Tamandua tetradactyla: one gene and its partners. The protein of the gene in region 3 purifies or fractionates together with the protein of the main gene of each other region. This does not show direct contact. Links are inferred from orthologs where the notes say so. Each region holds a gene or a part of one and is shown on either strand. Other genes may lie near its edges.

What was found.
Region 1: the proteins of DDX21 (region 3) and RSL1D1 purify together in Homo sapiens (affinity purification with mass spectrometry; 3 studies listed by BioGRID and IntAct, with this or other methods). This does not show direct contact. The link is inferred for Tamandua tetradactyla from reciprocal best matches to the Homo sapiens genes DDX21 and RSL1D1.
Region 2: the proteins of DDX21 (region 3) and RRP1B purify together in Homo sapiens (affinity purification with mass spectrometry; 3 studies listed by BioGRID and IntAct, with this or other methods). This does not show direct contact. The link is inferred for Tamandua tetradactyla from reciprocal best matches to the Homo sapiens genes DDX21 and RRP1B.

Annotation. Positions count from the first base shown.
Region 1 is NC_135349.1:45,367,404-45,374,411, reverse strand, and holds the start of RSL1D1 (ribosomal L1 domain-containing protein 1), read right to left. Parts: upstream 3,061-7,008; 5' UTR 3,046-3,060; coding exon 2,839-3,045; intron 2,354-2,838; coding exon 2,214-2,353; intron 793-2,213; coding exon 654-792; intron 115-653; coding exon 1-114. UniProt on the Homo sapiens protein: Regulates cellular senescence through inhibition of PTEN translation. Acts as a pro-apoptotic regulator in response to DNA damage.
Region 2 is NC_135336.1:101,251,877-101,258,805, forward strand, and holds the start of RRP1B (ribosomal RNA processing protein 1 homolog B), read left to right. Parts: upstream 1-3,928; 5' UTR 3,929-4,003; coding exon 4,004-4,133; intron 4,134-6,929. Other genes in the region: HSF2BP (heat shock factor 2-binding protein), read right to left, coding at 1,691-1,841, 2,646-2,681. UniProt on the Homo sapiens protein: Positively regulates DNA damage-induced apoptosis by acting as a transcriptional coactivator of proapoptotic target genes of the transcriptional activator E2F1.
Region 3 is NC_135339.1:28,236,689-28,244,749, reverse strand, and holds the start of DDX21 (nucleolar RNA helicase 2), read left to right. Parts: upstream 1-5,025; 5' UTR 5,026-5,133; coding exon 5,134-5,220; exon of another isoform or gene 5,221-5,627; intron 5,628-7,018; coding exon 7,019-7,447; intron 7,448-8,061.

The DNA of each region.
Region 1 (7,008 bases), on a different chromosome or scaffold from region 3:
GGGTAAAAGCCGCCTAATTCTTGCATCAGTAAGGAAGAAGTCAAAACTACCCAAGAGACGGAGCTTGGCTTCATACGGTTTATATTCCTTTTTTAAAGTTCGGAGGGGGATAATCTAGAAAACACAGGAGTAAAATATAAAAAATTAAGACCCTGTACAACAAGAACAATATTTAGGCAATAATTTGTACTCTATTCAGATTTTAAAATGTCCTCAAGCTACACCTAACCTACCTAAGTAAACACTTCAGTGCCAAATACGTGCCAGGCTAAATGCTGAGGATGCTGAGACAAGTAAGATGGGATCCCATCTGAAGAAACTTACATCTGATGAGTGATAAAGACAAGTAAATCAACAACTACAAACAAGATGCTAAGTGCCAAATCAGAAGCAAATACAGGATGCTCTGAAGAATAACATATTTGTGTAATCTACAAAACATAAAGGTTACTGATGTATACATTCAACTTTGAGGTCAACAAATCTCGACAGCCCCCTCCATCTTAAGGAAGATAGAATGCCACTTACCTAAAACCACCAAAATTAAATTAAAAAGAGAAAAACGGAAAAAATACTAGGAAATATACAATGCATCATTTATCACTTCAACTGAATTAAATACTTTGTCTGGAAAATATTAACCTGCTCCCTACCTGAGAAATTGTTTCAATTTTATGCTTGTTCAAAAGACTCCTGTAGAAATGTTCTGTCTTTTCAGGAGTTAAATTGGGCTCATCCTTGGTGAATAAACAGACTTCTGCTAAATCTGACCGAATACTGTAAGGCAAAGACCTGCAAAACACATGAGAAGGAGCCAAGGAATAAAACATTATTACAGACAATATGTATCTTTATATTCTGCAAAATACACAATAAATTTACTGTCATTTCAATACTTTCATTTGTGCTATTTAAGAAAATACTGTACTAAATACAATATTTAAATATATATTCAGCTTTCCATGATACAGAGAAGAGATTTAAGATTTAAAGACATCACCACAACTACCAAAAGGTCCAAAACTGAATAAGCACTCGGGATAGAAGATTTAAAATCTAAACAGACACCCAAATTACTGCATGTGCAATTAATGTGTTCTCTCTATATACATGTATTTGAAATTCTTAGCTATACAGACAATTTAACTCAACAGTCAAAACAGAAAACATGGAACAAACCAAAAGTAACCAACAAACGTGTTGAATATTGCGTTGCGTCTTAAAAAATAATAATAAAAACAGGATTAAGGCACTGCCTAGGCCTACATGTTTGAGGAAACATTTCCTTAGTTTAACAAGAGATAGCAATACAAGGGCATGACATGTCAAATGAGAGAAAAAGTGCATAATGCAAAGCTGGCATGTGGCACTTAGAAATCACCAAGAGGTTGGGAAAATATCTTAGAGGAGGTGAGAAGGCTTTCCAGAAGCTTCAGCAAAGCTGTGGAATAAAGAATCCACATGGAATTCATAAAGCAATAAATAAGGTAATCTGGTTAGACAGAATTTGAGAAATTCACCTCCCTTCTTCATGGGAAAAACAAAAGAAGTTATCCTAACCACATCTTTCTTAAGCAAAGCTGACTTTGTTGCCTATTAGAATATAGGACACTCAGTTGAATCTGAATTTCATTATCAATATGGAATAATTTCTTAGTGTAAGTATGTTCCAGGTATTGCATGGGACATACTAATACTAAAAGAATTATTCGTTATTTTATTTGCTAAATTTGGCAAATACAGAGAGGGCATCTCTGACCTAAGACTACTGGCAATAAGAATGTATAATCACAATGGCTTTTCTGTATAAAAGACAAGTCCCAGAACCTCAGTTATTTTAGCCCGGAAATAGCTTGACATGAAAATATAATATGTTCTGCTAAAACACAAAAGCTGCTTAATTTAATCTTTATCTCAAAAACTAGTTCAATAGAATCCATAGCCCCCAGAAAACTGGGAATATTTCTAGGAAATTATAGTACGTCTGAATTTCTATAGTTCTTTTAGGCACGTTTACTTATTTTATATAAGATTTTCACTTTGAATTTGCAAAATTTCCACTAGAAACAAACTTGGGATTGTTGAAATTATTACATACAATGACCAAACAGATAAAAAAGAGCAAACGTCGCAGTATTTTCTACCTGATTTTTCTGTAAATGTATTATCTTCTCTAATTAAAAAAAAAGCAAACATAGAAAATCAAAACTTACAATCTGACCCTCAGTTCTTTACTTGGAATTTTCCATAATACCACCATTAAGAAGACACTTTCTTTCTCATTCAAAAGCAAGTCGTTAGCGTTTTTCCTGGACTTGGAATTTTCTAACAGAGCTCTCACCGCCTTTTTAATCTGCAAAGTGGAGATACAAAAAAAAAAAGAGTTGATCTCAATCTAATTTAGTATTTGCCCCTCCTCTTTTTTTTTTTCCAACTAATAATTACTGAGAGCTAACGACCAGCCAGACCCCTGGACAAAGCGCTTTACAATACACTGCCATCTATGATCCCGGACAGGAGAGGGCGGAAGAACCCATTTAAAAAAAGGGCTAAGAGGTTTGCACAATTAAATGACCTGGCAAGATAAACGGTTGGAAAGGAAAGCCAGGTGTCTCTTCAAACCCCAATTACACTTGCAATCCAAGAAAAGGGGGCCAAGCCGCAGGACTGTGGGAAGCAGGCGGATAAAAACACGGAGCAAGCGACCCCTCCAAAGCGCCGGGGCCATCCGAGGCGCGGAGCCCGCAAGCAGGCCCCCGGGTCCTGACCGGGTACCCCCACAGGATACAGGCCAATAGACACCACGCTTCAGAATGGTCCACTCCAGGGGCCACTCACCTGCATTTTCTTCACCAGCGACTCCCGCTTGGGTTCGGTAGGGCTCTCTGGAGTCGAGGCTGAGCCTGGGGTCGAAGATACGTCCTCCATGGCCCTTTCGCCTCGTGCAAACGTGCGCAGGGATTCACCGAGCTGCTTCTCCCTCACACACGCGAGCCTAGGCCTGAAGCCGGAAGTGGAAGGGCGGCACCCGAGCCCATGCGTCATTTCCGGGAGCGCGCGGGATTTGGTTTGGGCGCCGCCGGGCGGGAGCGAGTTGAGTGAGCTGCACGCTCTGCCTGCGGGCTGAGGGGCTTACTCGAGGCCCTCACCTCTCCTGTCCTATTCCGGTTTCCTGGAGGCCCGGGTAGGCGTGCCGCCACCTTCTTCCCATTCTTACACGAAAAAAGGTCGAGAAACCGCCTTGAAGCAGGAGAGGAGCCCTGTCCATCGCTCCCGTGGGTCACCAGTTCTGCCTGGACGCCGCCTTTGGGAAGGCCGCGGGCGACTGCGGGACGGGCGCGGGCTCCGGAATCACGCACGCCTGCCCTGGAATCCCTGTCCACCACCCACCTGCTCTGGGACCTTGGGCGAACCGCTTAGACTTCCGAGCCACACTCCTCAAACGTGAGAATGACGGCAATGTGCCTCCTTACCGGAGGGCGAAGATCCAGTGAAGTAATAATGCATGGGAAGTACGAGACGCGTCGTGGAGCGGTGTGAGGGATCGAAAGATGACCCAGACCGGTATCTTAAGAGCTTCCGGTCTCACTGAGAGGCGGGAGGTAAGATCGTATAGAATAAATGTGGAGGCTGGATAACGGATAGGATGGAATACAGTAGAAAGTCTGCCTCCAGCCCCATGTCCCCAGAGGTAACCATTGTTACCAGTGGCCCCTGTAACCTTCCAGAGATGTCCTAGACGTGTTTAGGCAGTAGTTGTATTTTATTATTTTCTTTATGGATATGATTGGGGTTAAATTTAGTCTTTTATTCTTCTACACAAATAGAGGCGTAGTATACCCACAGCTCTGCTCCTTGGCTTTTCCTCTTTTCTTTCTCTTTCTCTCTCATTATGTTTCTTTGAATTATATTTATTACAGAATTATGAATTGTTAAGTTTGATGTATCAATATCATTTAGTATTCTGAAAAGAGCATTGGGGATGTCAGGTGTTCTGTCATCTGAACAAGTGTAAGAACTAGCCTTTTCTATTTTCTAGGCCAAGAAGACTGCACGGATTCAGGTGAAAAAGCATGGTGGTGTTTGGAAGTAGTAAGTGGCTGGAGTAGGGATGTGCAGCAGAGAGGACTGGGAGATGAGGTTAGAATACTGGCAAATTGACAAACCTTTAGCTATACTGACAAAGAAAAAAAGAGGATACAAATGACTAAAGTCTGAAATAAAAAGGGGGCCATTATTACCAATCTCATTGAAATAAAAAGGACTATAAGACAGTACTGTGAACCACTGTATGCCGACAAATTAGATAGCCTAGTTGAAACGGACAAATTGCTGGAAACACGCCAGCTACCTTCACTGACTCAGGAAGAAATAGAAAGTCTAAACAAATCAATAACTAATAAAGAGATTGAATCAGTAATAAAGAAAAGCCTAGGATCAGACTGCTTCACAGGGGAATACTATCCACATTCCAAGAATTGACCCCAATTTTGCTTGAACCCTTCCAAAAAACTGAATAGGAAGAAACACTCCCTAAAGCATTCAACCAGGCCAAAATCATTCTCATACCAAAGCCAGATGAAGATACCAAAAAAAAAAAAGGAAATTTATAGACCAATATCTCATAGAGGTGCAAAAATCCTCAATGAAATACTAGCAAACTGAATCCAACAGTCCATTAAAAGCATATAAAATGGATCAAGTGGAATTTATCCTAGGTATTCAAGAGTGGTTCAAAATAAAAAAATTTATTAATGTAATACACCACACTAACAGAATGAAGGGGGGAAAAAACATGATCATGATCATCTCAGTTGATGCAGAAAAGGTATTTCACAAAATCTAGCACCTTGAATTGTAACCCATACCAAATTTTGAAATCTCTTCTACGACTAATTGTTGTGATGTGCTTTGAAATTAATTGCTGTTTCTGTATGTTATTTTTCACAAAAAAGAAAAAATTGATTGTGATAAAAAAATCACAGTGAGGTACCACTTCACGCCCACTAGAATGGCTACTATGAAAAAAAATAAAAGGCATCCCTCCCTTGGGCATGTCCACATTAACCTCTCCAATATGTATTCTCTCTCCTTCTTTTTAATAAACTTAACTATTTATTGCTTTAAAAAAAAAATCTGGCACCCCTTTTTTTTTTTTTGACTGGTAACATTGGTTAATGTTTTTTTTAATTTTTTAAAAATTTATGATACATAACCACATACAAACAAACATTCTTACCATATGATCATTCCATTCTTGTTGTATAATCAGTAACTCACAATATCATCACATAGTTGCATATTCATCATCATGATGAATTTCTTAGAACATTTGCATCAATTCAGAAAAAGAAATAAAACGAAAACAGAAAAAAAATTCATACATTCCATACCCCTTACCCCTCTCAGTAATTCCTAGCATTTCAATTTACTAAATTTATTTTAACATTTAGCATTTCAGTCTACTAAATACTTGTTATTTATTTATTTTTAATCCATGTGTTTTACTCATCTGTCTGTACCATAGATAAAAGGAGCATCAGACACGAGGTTTTCATAATTACACAGTCACGTTGTAAAAGCTATATCATTCTGCAATCATCTTCAAGAAACATGGCTACTGAAAACAGCTCTACATTTTCAGACAGTTCCCTCCAGCCTCTCTGTTGCATCCTAACTAAAAAGGTGGTATCTGTATGATGCGTAAGAATAATCTCCAGGATAACCTCTCCACTATGTTCGAAATCTCTCAGCCACTGACACTTTATTTTGTCTCATTTGTCTCTTCCCCCTTTCGGTCGAGAAATTTCTCAATCCCTTGGTGCTGAGTCCCAGCTCATTCTAGGATTTCTGTCCCATGTGGCACCCTTTCTTGATAAAAACACTTGGAAAACTAGGAATAGAAGGAAACCTCCTCACCATGATAAAGGGCATCTATGAAAACCCAGTTATATCAGGCTTAATGGGGAAAGACTGAAAGCTTTTCTCCTAAGATCACAAACAAGACAAGGACCTGTCCCCTGTCACCACTGTTATTCCACATTGTGCTAGAAATTCTAGCCAGAGCAATAAGGCAAGAAAAAAATTAAAAAACATCCAAATTGAGAAGTACAATTTTCTGTATTTGCAGATGACATAATCCTATACAGAAAATCCACAATAAAGCTTCTAGGATTAGTTAATTAATCCAGCAAAGTGGCAGGGTACAAGAACAACACCCCAAAATTAATAGCATTTCTTTACACTAGCCATGAACAATCAGAAGAAGAAATCAAGAAAAAAATTTCATTCACAATAGCAAATAAAATAATCAAATATCTAGGAATAAATTTAACCAAGGATATAAAGGACATATACGCAGGAAATTTTAACATTGCTTAAAAAAGAAAACCTAAGTAAATGGATTGGGAGACTAAATATTGCTAAGGTGTCAATTCTGCCCAATGATTTACAAATTCAAAGCAGTCTCAGTCAAAATTCCAACAGCTTACTTTACAGAAACAGAAAAATCATCTAATTTATTTGGAAGGATAAGGGACCCTAAATAGCTAAAAACATCATGAGAGAAGAACAAAATTGAGGAATCATGCTCCCTAACTTTAAAACATATTACAGAGCTCAAAACAGCATGGTGCTGAAATAAAGATATACTGACTAATGAAATTGAATTGAGAGTTCAGAAATAGACCCATCTATGGTCAATTAATTTTGACAAGGCTGCCAAATCCTCTGAATTGGGACAGAAAGTCTCTTTAACAAATGGTGCTGGGAGAACTCAATATCCATATGGGAAGGAATAAAAAAGGACCCCTATCTCACACCTTATACAAAAGTTAACTAAAAATGGATGAAAGACCTAAATATAAGAGCCAGAAGCATAAAACTAGAAGAAAATGTAGGGAAGCATCTTTAAGATCTTGTGGTGTGTGGTGGTTTCCTAGTCCTTATGCCCAAAGCGCAAGCAGCTAAATTAAAAATAGACAAATGGGACCACCTCAAAATTTAGAA
Region 2 (6,929 bases), on a different chromosome or scaffold from region 3:
TGAGAAGGAATGGCCAGGAAGTGCACCAGTGGGAAAGAGGTGACACCATGGAGGGGCAGGTTGGGCAGCCGGCCAAGGTCTCCTCAGCTAACTATGAACAGGTTACCAGAGATTGCTTTGTGGTTCTCACTTTCACAAGCATCACAATTTGACGTGGGAAAGGACTGATCTCCAATAAACTGACTCATCATAACCAACATGAGACCCTCACATATTTTTCAGAATATCAATGTATTGATTTACAGTAAGAAATATAACCAACCGGCAGGCCGATATACTCTGCTCACTGGCCAGCAGTTTCCTTTCCCAAAGACAAACATGGATTGAAGAGGTATGCTCGGATGGTTGATGTGGTAAGCATGGCAACAGCACAAAGGCAGCTGAGAAGCCAAGGACTTGGAGCTGTGGAAACCAGTGAGACAGAGCACATCAGTCAGGGTGCCAGCATGAAGGAGAAATCAAAGAAAAAAAGAAAGATTAAAGTCCCAGATATCAAGGGACTTTAATGAAAAAACTTACTGAGGGAGAGCAGATAAAAGTCCCAAGAAGGGATGGTAAAAACAGCCCCACAACTGAAGGAGCAAGGGGAGAAAACAGTCCTGGAGGCCAGCGAGAGTTGGGACAAGAGAGGAGGTCACTGAGTGGTAGACACAGATGAGGAGGGATGAAACTATGCCAGAGGAGAGCAGCAATGCAGGGAGGGTGTGGGGGAGGAGATGCCCCCACCACTCTCTCCTCTCACTGATAGGTTTCACTGGCTGGCCCTCTGGCAGGCAGTAAGGGAGCCACAGAACACCTCAGTGCAGAGAAGGAGAGAAAGGATCCCAGGACTTCAAAGAGAATATAAACAGGGCATGACTACAGAAACTGTGAACAGTCTCTCTTCTAACTGGATATGACTGCCCCATTGACCAGATAGTTACACAAACCAGAAACTTACGTTCTTGAGTCTGGACCCAAGAACTTTCCTGCGTAACTTCCTGTCTGGACTAGTGCTAGCAACACTACCTCAGCCTCCTGGATGTACCTTTCTAAGGCCTCACAGCGATGGCTGTCAAATACAGTCTGGCCAATTAGCCTTAATCACTGAAGACAGACTTCATGGTAATGCAGCTTAATGAGGCAAGTGCTGAATCCATCCAGAGGACCTCCAGGCATCTGAACCAGCCCCTGCACTGGTGTCTGATACAATGGCTCAGCTCAGATCTCCAAAGTCTGATGAATAAGTCCCACCAAACCTGAAATGAAAGCAGTGCTAGAAACAAACCCATCTGTCAACCTAAAGAACCTAGGGAAGTGAACACACATTCAGCCACCTCTGCAGACACATTCAGCTCCAGGCAAGCTTTCCACCATGACAAGATCCTTCACTAACCCAAACGTGGACTTAATCTTCAGAGCAGACCTCTTTAATAATCAAAAGTATAAAATTCTCCCACCATGGAAGAGAATGAGAAGCTAGTAAGAGATACTCCAGAGAGCTGGCCACCCTCACACCAACTCACCCATGTCCAAGTAATTCATTCGAGGCCACCTGCCCTTTTTATGTCTTATCTGAATCCCCAATTTAATTATATAACCTATAACAGTATCTCAAAAATTATGTATCATTACTTTCTAACGAGGGACGCTGTATCTGCTGAAACATTGTTGGAGTCAATGGTGATCGTTAAAGATAGAAAAGACTCACTTTTTTCTACAATCTTTAATTTCTGGAAGCTTTCCAGTACCTCCCCATTTAGTATTCTGGGTAAGAAGTCCCGTATTTGCATCACTTCAGTTGTTAGACGTTCCAGGTCCTTCTTCCTGACTTTAACGAATTCTTCTTTAGTTTCCACGTGCTAAAAGAACAAGCAGATCTTATGATCATACCATTTCTCTTCAAATGACTAAAACTAGTGGCCCACTTCAGCTTACTTCCTTCTCTTTAATACCTCTGGTGCTACTGTTCCAGAAATTTATCTTTATAATATGCCTTCTGCTATATTACATGCTGAAGGTAGAAGCCCTGATCTTCAAAGTGAGAACCAGATATGAGAGAGGGGTAGGACAAGAGTCCTACTCCTAAAAGCCAAAGAAAATGCCAGTAACTTTCTAGTAACATTTTGGCACTAGGTTAATCAAGAGAAAATGGGAAATACTTCTGCTGGATTCCTACTAGACCTGTCAAGCCCTCTGCTGGACACCGTATTTAATACTCAGTGAAACCCTTCAGGACTTTCCAGAGCAGAACACCGAGGCATGGAAGGCCAGGTGACTCCCCAGCGTGGGACACTGGGGACCCGAGGGGTCAAAGCCAGCATTTACAGAGCCCCGACATCCAAACTCCAAGCACGTCCTCCTACATCACAGGAGGAAGCACTCTGTCATGTTTCAACCAGCGTCCAAGTCCTGGTCCGATGGAAACTGGGTTTTCAGACGCTGCGAGGGCCATTCACCTCACCCTCTCTGCCTCTCGCGCTCCCTCCAACTCCCCACACCCGCCCCACCGCAGCAGCGGCAGACATCACCTCGACCTCACGGCAGCCACACCACGTTCCCGCCCGCACCCGCCCGGCCCCCGCTGTCCGTGGAGAAGGCCCGAGGCCTCCCCGACCACGGAGCGGCTCCCGAGCGCCGTAGAGGTCCCCGGCCTCGTCACTGACCCGGCAGGCCTCCTCCGAGCCGCTCGCCTCGCCCATGGCCGCGCCGACCTCCCCGCAGTGCGCCTGCGCGGCGCCGTCTGCCGCCTTCCGCGGAAAACGCGGGAACGCGGCCGCGGCCGATGCTCGGTACGGACAGCCGTGAGGTTCAAATGTCGTGGCTTCTGCGCCGCATTTGAGAGGAGTGAGAGGAGTGAGCTTCTCCGGCTTAGCCCGGGCTATGAAGTTGCTAACTGCAGAGTAAAAGGAAAGTGAGACTTTGGTGTAAATATCAAGTCACCTAAAGTGAGCCGGTCCTTTCCTGCAGAGTGCGGAAGGCTATCAAGGGGCAACTGCCTGCCCGCAGCCTGCTTCCCGGGAAACCTCACCGCAGCAAACTGCGCACCTCCCGCTCTACTCCAACCCTTTCCTATTAAAGGTTTCACCTTTAGGACCCTTCGGGAGGGCTGCACACCATAGGAAGTTCTGCAGCCAGCTAAGTAAATGAAATAACAAAGATGAAAACCGTCAAATTGGACAAATAGCCTCGTCCGTTGACCTGCCCCAGTGCGCACCCTGGACTCGCAAAATTTGAGCTGGCCTGTGGTTTTGAAAGGTTCCCGGGGTTAGGACCATTCCCCTTTCTCCCCTCGCTTAGGCTAGCCAGAAGGCATTGTTCACAGTCCCGTTTAACTGTGGACGTTTTCCCAGGCTGGCTGGAGCAGGAATCAAGTCGAGACGTTTGCACAAAACCCGAAATTCCTGCCTTTGCGAGCAGGGAGAACAGGCGTGCGGGCACTGCTCGGGCCGGGTAGCCGCGGTACTGCTGGACGACAGACCGGCCTGCCCGCCCTCAGGGTCCTCCAAGGGCTGCCCCGGACGGGCTTGGTGCCGACACCCCCAGTGCGGGCCGCCGTGCCCCCCCTCACCTCTCCCTAGTGTCGCGCGCGGAGGCCCTACACTTAGGAGCTCGGCTGCACGGTGCCCCGTAGGTCGTGTGCTGAGCGTGTGGGGGGTTGGCTAAGTGGACCTAAGGAGTCCAGAAACTGAAAACTGACATCCGTCTCTTCCTGACGAAGACGCAGCCTTGGCTACCGCGCCGCCAACGGTCCTGAATTTTGGCGACCGAAAGGCGGCGAAGGCGCGAAGATGCGACGGCGCGGCGCACCCAGGAGGGGCGGTTCGCGCCGGAGGCCCTGACCAAAGCAGCGCGGGCTTCGGAACGCCCCCTACGAGGCCGCCGGCGCCTTTGTGACGCTATCAGCCCGCTGACGCTGACGCCGCCTCCTGCGCAGGCGCGGCGCGGGCCCGGCTTGGCGGCGACCGCGGCGTGAGGCTGAGCGACCGCGGGCTGGACTGCCCGGGATGCTCCGGCTGGCGCCATGGTCCCTGCGATGCAGCCCGCCGAGATCCAGTTCGCGCAGCGGCTGGCGTCCAACGAGAAGTGGATCCGGGAGCGGGCGGTGAAGAAGCTGCGCCAGTACATCAGCGTGAAGACGCAGAGGAAGACAGGTGGGCCCCCGGCGCTCAGCCACATGGCGGGCCGGAGCCGGCCGCGGCGGCCGGGAGGGCCGGGGACACGCCGAGCCCAGCAGGGAAAGGGGCTTCGAGCAGGGATTCGTGACTTCTTTCGTGGGCGTCCATGTGTCCAATCCATGTAACCGCCTTTTTACTGTATCCAGTCCTATGTTGATGTTACCGCTGAGCAGACAGGCCGGAAGTGGGTCACTGATTTACTGAAAGTCACATTCAGTAAACGGGGAGGCTGAGATGAAACCCGGGTCCGTCTGATTCCCATTCCCACGCCTGCACTTTCAGTCATTACATTCACCCGCTTTTATTTCGGCGTGCTCTTCGTTGATTGATTCATGCCAGCGTTTGGTCAACATGTTTAGGTGCTGGAAATACAAGAGAGGAGACAGACAGAATAGCTCCCCTCAAAGAACTCCTAGGAAAAAAGCTAGAGAAGGTGACAAATACAATAGAGCTTATATAAGTGTAGTGAGGAAAATGAAAATCACTTAACAGCGAGAAAAAAGGAGAGAAGCAACTCTTCTTCATTGGCTGTTTTCGGGGCCTCGCTGGGGTGATGTTCAAGTGAGGTCCAGAGGCAAGAGGAAGACAGCCCTGCAGAAAAGCAGGAGAGAACTTAGCATGCCCTAGACCTGTAAATGAGGAGGCTGGGGTGTCTTGAAATGAAGTTGGAAACACAGGCAGAGGGCAGATCGCATAGGGCTTTGTAGTTTGGATTTTAGCTGTAGTAGAGTGCCAGCGAAGGATTTCATTTACCAGATATAGAACATGTGCCTGTAAACCCTTGAGTGAGCTCAGAGTGTATGAACTTGTTCTTGAGTGAACATATAGGTGTGCACATGGTGCAATATGCTATAGTAAGATAAAGTTTGATTTAATCACTGCTAACGTTAATGCCTTTAACATCTGCTTGAAAGAGTAGCTATTATCTATCTCTTCACCACGTTCTTAGTTTCTTTTATTTTGAAGAGAAACACAGAAGACTACTCAGGAAAAATTGAATCGAATTTTAGTTCTGATAAACAGAAAGGGGAAAGAAGACCAAATTCTTAACTTCAGTTCTCTTAGCTTCTCTTACGGTTTCAGCTATCCTATATACACCTGAGGTTACAAAACCTAAATTTCTAGCCCATACCTTCCCTACTTGCAGCTCAGATAACCCCCACTAGCCTGACATCTCTGCCTGGATTTCCAACAGTCACCTAAGACTCAGAGTGCCCCAAACTGACTCATTTTATTCCCTCCAAAACCTGTTATTTTCTGTTGTTGCAGCTCTCCCTTGTCTGCCTGCGTTATTTTATTTTGGTTGCTAGTTCTCCACCATCGACTCAGACTCCTCACTTTTACTCATCCTCTCCCCCCAGCCTACATTGAATGTCCCTTGGTCCTACTTGTTTCACCTCCTAAATGACCACCCTGACCACAGGCCCACTTTATCTTACCTGGAGTCTTTGCGTACTTATTTATGTCCCTCTGCATCCCCATTGAATCCATCTCCACTAACCAGTTCAGGGTAATCTTTTTATTTATTTATTTATTTATTTTGCATGGGCAGTCACCAGTTTGGCAGGCAAGAACTCTGCCTGCTGAGCCACCATAGCCCACCAGGGTAATCTTAAAACAAATCTGATCCCTGTAGTACCCTCGAAATTCAGGGTCCCTTCTAGCTACACCTTGACCACTTCATGTTCTATCAACAACAATCTATTCTTGGTTCCTCATATGTGACACACCATTTCTCACCTCTTTGCCTTTTTTTAACACAGCAGAAAGCTCACCCCCTTTCTGCATTTGGCACTCAGTTCAGTATCACTTCCTCCAAAAAGCCTTTCCTAACACCCCTACTCCTTTATGATTCTAAAATACCCAGTGTATTGTGTATGGTCTCTGTTGTGGCACTTAGCTACATTGCCTTTTAACTATCTCTCAGCGTGTCATTCTTCCTCCAAAACACCGTGACCTTCCACTGTTTCCTTAGCTGAAAGTCAGATCACACCCAGCTGTACGAGGACCTGGCATGCTGTCCGTATTGCACCCTAGAATGGGTCTGAAATGGACCAGACAAACCCTGTTGCACAAACAGGCCTTTGGTCAGCAAGCCCAGGGTCTGCAAGATGCTAAAATGATGCAGGGTATGAGGCTAGTCGGTTTACCATTGCCCCAGGGTCCTGGCTTAGTACCCATCACAGCTAGAATTACTTGTGGTATACCTCTTGTTCTGCCCCCTAATCTATACTGCAGGGTGTATAGTGGGCCCTCAAAAAAACTCTGCAAAGTGAATATCGTAGGCACAGTGATAACGGGGCAGGAAAAAAAAAGTGCCACAGTTCCCCTCCATCAAAATAGAGACACAAGTTTAAAAATAAATTGACCTGATATTTGAATCTCATAGACAGACTCGCATTTTTTGCATCTTGTCCTAGGCAAGGTAAAGAAAATCTGAAATTTCGCTTATACTAGTACATGTAGCTGTTTATCAGCAGCAAAAATAGATAGCTTTGTGATTTCAGAAAGTAAATTAGGAATCCCTGTACTGCTTAAAGCAACCACACATTGCCCTAGTGCTTTAACTGTTTGTGCTGAGCATTTACAATAAAGGAATAATCATTGTTTAGTGAATAGTTTCCTAGCTGCTAAAATAAATACCATACAATGGGTTGATTTCAACAACAGGGATTTGTTGGCTTATGGCTTTGCGCCTACAAGAAGTCCAAAATCAAAGCACGAGCAAGGCGATGCTTTTTCCCTGAAGACTGGCATTCTGGGACTGGCTGT
Region 3 (8,061 bases):
TTTGCATGTGATAGGCAGGGGAGAGGAATATAAGAAATAAGGATTTGTTATTAAATAGGGACCAGATTTTAAAGGTCTGTGTGTCATGTTAAAGAGTTTAAATTTTCTCTTGAGGACAGTGGGGTCACTGAAGGGTTTAAAGTAAGGAGTAATATGAATAGATTCATATTTTAGAAAGATTACTAGCTACACTGAGGAGATTGGAGGCCAAGAAACTCTTCCGCGTCTGTTGAAGTAATGCAAGGTCAAGATGATGAAGGTATGAATTCATGGTGGATAGCTTATTTTGAGTGATGAGAACTAAGGCACTTGAGAGGCTACTTGTCCAAAATCACACAGCTGGCTAATATATAGTAGAGTGAGGATTTGAACCCAGTTAAATCTAGCTCTGAACTGAAACTGTGTTAAACAGTGGCAGTAGATGTTGAGGAACACAGATATCAGAGATTTTTAGGAGATAGAATTATCAGGACTTGGTGATTGGTTTGGTAGATGAGAGAGAGGCCGAAGAATGAAACTAGATTTTTGTCACTGACATAGGGTACTCAGAGGGAAGAGCACAAGAAGTTCTGTGGGGAGGGGATGGAAATTATTAGTTCAGGGTTAGACCTTGAACAGGCTCTAGGATATGTAAGTAGAGGAGATAGAGTAGGCAATTGGAGGATGCAGAGGGAGGTAGTAGGCTAGGACATTTGAGGAGAGTGAAGAAATGCTGAAATATCAATTGTAGAACAAGATGGAGAGCTTACTAAGCAAACGTGTCACAGGCAGTCTTGAGGATCCAGTTGAGGTTAGACTGGACTTGTACTGGCACCAATCAGAGCGAACGAGTAATTTTCTACAACAATCTTCAGCATTCTGGTTGTAGGAATGGAGAAGGGAGACAGTTGACTGATCGAGGATTGGGATTTTGCTTTGTGAATGAGATAAAAGGATAAGGTGAAGATGTTTAGCACTTTGACAAAAAAGTGACTGAAGTGTTAGTCTATGGAATGTAGACTGCCTAAGGGTTGAAGTGGAGATAGGGTTGATCACAGCGAGAATGTAGAGGGGGCAAGGGACTGAAGCTGTTTCAAGAGTGGAACAATTTGGTATAAGACAACAAGAGTATAATTAGTAGGCTTGATGAGTTCAGGCAGTCAAGGAACTGAGAAGCAGGTTTTATATGTGTGGTTTTCCCAAACAGTGATGTCTCTTAGTTTGAAAGCCAGGCCTGAGGAGGGAGAGGAAGAGCCAGGTACCAAACTATTGATGGTGTGGAGGTTGGTAAATTGCTAGAATGAGGAAGATTATAGGATATTACCACGTATCTTCAGAGAAGCAAGGGCTTTTACATGAAAGTGAAGGAGTAATCTAGAAATGGCTTTGAGGAAAAGAGGACACTGACTTGAAGGTTCATGGTATGCAAAGGAACCAGCAACTTTTGTGTGAGAAAACTGCAGGGAACAGTTTTTTTTTTTTTCCCCTTAACATGGGGAGGCACCGGGAATTGAACCCAGGTCTCTGGCATGGCAGGCAAGAACTCCACCACTGAGCCCAGTTTGCCCATCCTGCAGTGGGTGTGGGGGGGGGGTAGTATTTTCCAGGAAGAGCCAGATTTCAGTTAAAGCAAGGAGAGTTGAAGAACTTTGTGTGATGGATTGAGGAAGGAAGTTTTGATTATGAGGAATAGAGTTCCAGATGACCATGACTGATGGGAAGATCTCAGTTGGCTCTGCATTTGAGTAGTTGTGAACTCTGAATTTATATCCAAGATAAATTAGAGGTTCAGTTCCTATAAAGGTGAATGAGTACCAGTACATTCAGTCAGAATATGTTAGGCACCTACAATATCCCAGACACTATACTTTGGGCCCAAGGAAAGCCAGGTCTCTATCCTCAGGAGCTCAGAATCTTGTGAAATAGATGGACACATAAGCCTAGGTAAACAACAGTGAACTAAGTGTAGTTAAGTGCTCTGTGCAAGGGCACTGAGCCCAGCCCAGCAATGGGGTTGGGGGTTCAGAGGAAGCTTTTTGGATATAATGACTGAATATGAATGAAGTCAGGTAAAAGAAACAGGGATGTGGGGATGGGCATCCAGGCAAAGGCAAAGAAAAGCTAATAAAACAATAAAGTCTAAGTATGGGGAACCATGAGTAGTTCTTGCTGCTGAGATCTTCACTGTTAGGAAAGCATTGGTGAGAACAAGGCTAGAGTCATATCTTGGGGCATTTTGCAGGCCTTGTTTTGAAGAGCCACTGGAGGCTTTTAGGGAAGAGATTAAAAAATTAGTAAGCATTAAGATAAATGACAGCAAGGTAGAGGGTGGTCTTAAGGCTGACTTCTTTATTAGCCTACTCTCAGGCAAGGAAGTGGGGTGGATCCTAATAAGATTAAATAATAGCTTCCCATATTTCTGAAAAGGCAGGGCAAGTTCTCATGAAATTCTTAGCCTTGGGTTACTCAGTGATTTATCCTTACTCTACTTCTCCCTCTTCGAGCCCAGCGCCTTCATGGCTTTCCCTTTTAGCTATTCAGAGTCTCCAGTGTGGTGCTGTGCTCTAGTGTGGTTAGTTAACTACTTGAACTTGAATCAGTTACCCACAGCTTTGGTTTTTGAATTTGTAAATGAAATAATATGTTTTATTCCTTCAGCATTACAAGTTTGAATAATGAATTCACATTTAGGTGTAACTGTCAGCCTTTTCTGTTTTTTACATATTTGGGGTTGGGAGAAGCTGCTTAATAGTTTTTTTTTTTTTTTTTTACCATATTTTTTTCCTTATTAGTAATACATGTCCATTGTTGAAAATTTGAAAAAAGAGAAACAAATGGAAGAAAATAAAACACTCATAATTAACATCCCTCAGAGAAAAGTAGTGCTAACATTTTGTTGCATAGACTTTTGAATTCCTTCGGTGTGCATTTATGTATGTATATGTACATTTTAAAATAGAAATTCTCTCCCTAATCTTATGAAAACATGTTACCTCATGGAGATCAGAGGAAACTGGTCCAGAGAGTTGATACTTAAACAGGACTTCACAATACCTATCAAGGCCCAATTTTTTCCACTTATTACGGATTTTATACTGATGACTTGATTTCAGTATAATTATTTGGCCATCTTTGAGCCAAAAGGGACTTTTTTGTGTGTTTCCTCTTGGAATGCTGGGCTCTGCCTGTGTGCAGATACGTTCGTTACAAAGGATATTTTATAAACCTGACAACAGTTTTCCATTTAGTAGTTTGTTCTGGGTTTTTTCCTCCTATTGAAAATGTGTTAATAATAAACATGTCCTTATACAGTTTCAGCAGTATCATGAACAGCAGTATCACATGGTTTTGTGGTTTCTCAACCAAATTGCAGATTCCCTGAAGTAGGGACACGGTCTTAACATCTATAACCCAGAGTCCACAGTATGTGCTGAAATTCCAGATGAAAAGCATTTTGTTAGTTAGTTGATTGGTGGAATCCATTCATGCTTCCTTCCCCTTCTATCACACACAACAATCAGAATGACTGACATGCTCTCCTGCCTGGACTTATATCTAAAATTTATTTTGAGGGTGTTTTTGCTTTTCATGATTGCTATTTGAATGATAAACAAACATTTGCGTGACAGCCTCCTATTTATGTGCCAGGCTGAAATACTGAGGATACAAAGATGGATAAATAAATGAAGGCTCCTGGCTCAAGGATATCACAAAGTGTAAGTTAAAGCATTGTTGCACATGTACATAACTTTATCTTTTAAAAAGAATGAGACTGTGAAACACAGAACAGTAATAGCTTAAATATGAAAAATTTCCATAAGTTTTCCATAAAACTATTAGTTTAAAAATGTCCAGGGTGGGCCATGGTGGCTCAGCAGGCGGAGTTCTCACCTGCCATGCCAAAGACCCGGGGTTCAATTCCCTGTGGCCACCCATGCAAAAAAAAAAAAAATCACAAAAATAAAATGTACAGTAAAAATTAATCTCATGAAATATAGAGATAAAACTTTATTTTTTCCTTTGTCATAAAAGGCAGTATTTTTAATTGTCCAAACACTTGTGACACATCAGTGAGTTGCAAATTTCTTTTATTGTGCCTTATGTGCTAGGTAACGCCAAACCCTTTACATTCATGACATTAAATTTTCTCAACAAATGAGTTAGGTTTGTTATCTCTATATCATGAGAAACTCAGGCTCATATTCTGTAACGTGTCCAAAATCACCGAGCTATTTTTAATGGAATCGGCAGGTTTCAAAGCCTTTCTTGTAGAATTCCATCACATTCTCTTAAAAGACCATGATGCATTTTCTTCCAATTCTTTGTATCACCAGTTCTTCAGATAAAGTTTAAGTGACCGTCACGGATGGGCCACTTTTTCTCAACTGCTTGGATTATATCTTGTCGAGATCATGCAAGACAGGGAGTCCCTATTATTTTCTGATGTAGGCCTACGTGATTTGGGTGCCCCATCTAGTGTTCCCAAGCCCAGTTTAGGTGCCTTTTTGTACCTTCAGAACAAATGCCACTCGTCCTCTCTCCCACCAGTCTATAAAGCTTCCCCAAGAAAAGGTTAGTGTAATATCTCCTACCGAATCCTAGCACTGTTCTCCGACGCAAAGTGAATACTCAGAGATTGTGCGCTGAATATATGAGCACACACATGAACAACCGGACCCGACTGAATTCGGGTGCTTACCGAGACTCGTCAGTTTGGGCATCACCTTTCAGGTAGAAATATAAGAAGTTCAAAAAAACACATCTCGCGCGTCTGTACGCGAAAGGGCTTTGCACACTCGAGCAATCTAATACAAACACCGAAGAGGCGCCACTCATTTATCGGCTGGGGCTTACGAGAATCTGGCACGATAATACAAAGCTAACCTTTGTGGTCCTTTTCAGTTCTACCCTTTGGCAGGTGCCTTGTAGTCCAGGCGCTGTAAATGGAAATGGTTCATTCGCTAATCACAGGCTACGTCAGCAGCCGGAGCGTTGAGACACGCATGGGCCTCGCCTGCTTTGTACGTCCTGCTTCCGCCGGAAATGTCTTGATACGGGAAGTGACGAAAACTGGGTGGGCTAAAGAGGCAGTTCTATCTTTTCCTCTCCACGCGGTTGCCGAGTTTGGCTGGTCTACGCAGGTTCTGTTGAGTGATGCCGGGAAAACTCCTTAGTGACGTCGGCTTGGAATCAAATACGGCCATGGGAAAAAAGGAGACACAACGAAAGCAAAATGAGAAGGTGCCACGGAGGGCTGAGGGATCGGGGGCGAGGCAGGGAGAGGGACCGGGATGCTGAGGGGAGCGGGGCCCTGGAGTACGGGAGAGGAGGTACCCGGGCTGGGAGAGCGTGGCGCGCGGCGAGGAGACGGGGCGTGTAGTTTCGCCAAGAGGCTCTCGAGGGTGGTGGTCTCCAAGGGCAGTTCGTCGCTCTCGGAACTCTGGCTCTCTTCGGCAAGGCGCTGGGACCTCTGGCAACAAGGCCGGGGCAGATCCGATCTGGGGAACGGCAGATCGGGTGTCCCACGTGGTCTCCGGAGTCTGGGCCCCGTGCATGTGGTACGCAGAGTTGGACATTCACATTTGGCCCTTAGGTTGCCGGCTCAGATTTAACGACGGGCGTGAGCGTGGGCGGTGGTGTATCAAAGTCAGTAGAGGAAGTAGGGACTGACGTCTTAACTAAAGAAATACTAACCCTATTTGAGCACGTGGGGAGAGATTTTTAGAGGGCGGGCAAATGCTGGCGGCGTCTGCAGTAAGAGAAGTAGTTTGTCTTCTGGTGAGCAGCCCTTTGAAGAAGAAATAATTCAACTCCTCCTAATATTTACCGATCTAATTTGCTATGGAAATGTGACGAGAAGGGCTGTGGTGCTACCTGTACACTATTTTTTATATGGGCCAGTAGTATGTGAATTACCTTGACAACCGGGTACTTCTTTGATGCTGAATCCTATACCCACTTGAGTTTCTCTTCTGAGATGAGGTCAGTGAAAACACCAATTGTCCCTGAATTTGCTTTGTATTTGACTTACAATTTCCTTTCCTAGCTGTTTCTGTATCTTCCTGATGGGAGAGCATTTGGTATTGTGGGAAGCAGACAGAGTACAAATTTGTCCCCACAGATGGGGATGTAGTGGTTCTGGTTTACTTGTTTGAATCAGTTTGTGCGCTTAGGGAATTCTCAGATTAAGAGGAACCTCTTTGATTCCCGGCCCAGGCACTCCAAAAAAAAAAAAAAAAAAAAAAAATCAACAAATGGTGCTGCAGTAACGGAATATTCACATGGAAAAGAATGAAATGTGACCCCCACCCACAACATACCAAAAAAAAAAAAAAAAAGGAACATAATTAAACTTTCCCAAAGAGACCCATCTATTTGGTAGAACCAGGGAATGAAAAGTGGAGCAAAGTCTTGGGGAGAGACCAACTTTTTCCTCTGTTTATTAGAAGGGTGGTCACGTGGGAGAGAGGTTATCCATAGTCTGTGATTCTAAAACTGAGAACTGACGTTTCAGGAAGGTAAATTTCACTCTGATAGTTTCTGAACTTCCAGGGATTTGCTTGGGGCTCTGCCCAGGTTCTAACAGGTATAGCCTGTCCAACTAATTGTAATAAGTTTTCAGTAATCTGAAAAGTTGAATAGGGTCAGAAGTTTCAGGTAGGACCTCTAGCCGTATGTCTGGTTTGGTTTGGTGGTTTCACCCCTTCCATTTCCTTTTAACTTGTGCATCTGTGGTTTGCTGCTACTGTTGTTGAATTAAAGTATATCATTTTTACACATTGGCTGTGGGTCTTTATAGCTTTTTGGTTCATAAAATGTTTCTATGTAAATTCATTTGAGCTTGTGTGAGAGGTAAAGCAAATATTATTCTTGTTTTGCTTGAGGTGGAATTCTAGTAGGTACAAAAAGAAGGAATCTGTGTGACAGCATCCATTTGTGTACATACAACCCTATCGGTATTAATTTTGAACTGTGCTTGATCACTTTCTATAGTATTTAGTTTATTTCTTTTTTGTATTTTTTAAAAATTATTTTTTAGAAAGATAAAAAAGAGAAGTCAAAATCTGATAAGACGAAAGGATCAGCAGAAGAAAAGGAGGCTATGTCCCCCAAAGCAAAAAAAGTTAAAAAGGCAGGACCTTCTGACGTTGATATGAATTCTCCTAAATCCACAAAGGTAACAAAGAAGAAAGAGGAGCTATCTGAAAAAGACATTATTTCTCCTAAAATTAAAAATGGGAAAAAGAAAAAGGAGGCCTCTGAAAACAAAATTGTTTCTCCTAAAGTAAAAAAAATGAGTGAGGAACCTTCTGAAGAAGAAATAGGTGTTCCTAAGCCCAAGAAGATAAAGAAAGATAAAGAAATGAATGGAGAAATTGGAAAGAAAAGCTGTAAGCTGAATGGCTTTCCCCATTCTGGACTTGAGTCTAGTGAAGCTGGAAGTGAAGAAAGTAAGGAGTTAGAACAGGTAAAGTTGCACTGTTAAGGGGTAGAATGTATTTCTTTGTTTCAAAATGCAAAGCAATACCTACGAATACTATTTAATATGTGGGGTGGGAATTTGATGTGTCGGCATTTCATGAGTGGGGGCTGGGGTGGGCACCCTGACTTATCTCAGTTTATTAAATTGCATTGAGTTGGAATGCTTCCTCTGCAATGAGTAGATCTGTTTAAGCTTAGGGAAAGTCTTACAATCCTTGGTCTGCTGCTTATTTGCAAGTCAGTAAATCAATTGGAGAGGTATAGTTATGCAGGCAGGACTAGCTTCCCTCTAAGGGGTTTTGCCAAGTCATGATTAAGTGGAACTACAGAAAAGGTGTTGATTGATTGCATAAAAATCTTTTTGTTCAGACCATTAATTAACTTGAGTTGAATAGTATGAGTGAAGTTCTGCCTACTTGGAAGCTACTTTTATCTTTCAAAAACTTGGTAATCAAAATAAATTTAAATTCTGTTAAGTAATTTTTTACTTGCAGCAAGATCTTAATTTTTCCCCTCAATTATTAAAAATATTCTTGATATTCTCACAAGCAGTGGGGACAACAAAAGCAATAGGCTGAGTCCCCAGTCTTGGGGTTTGAT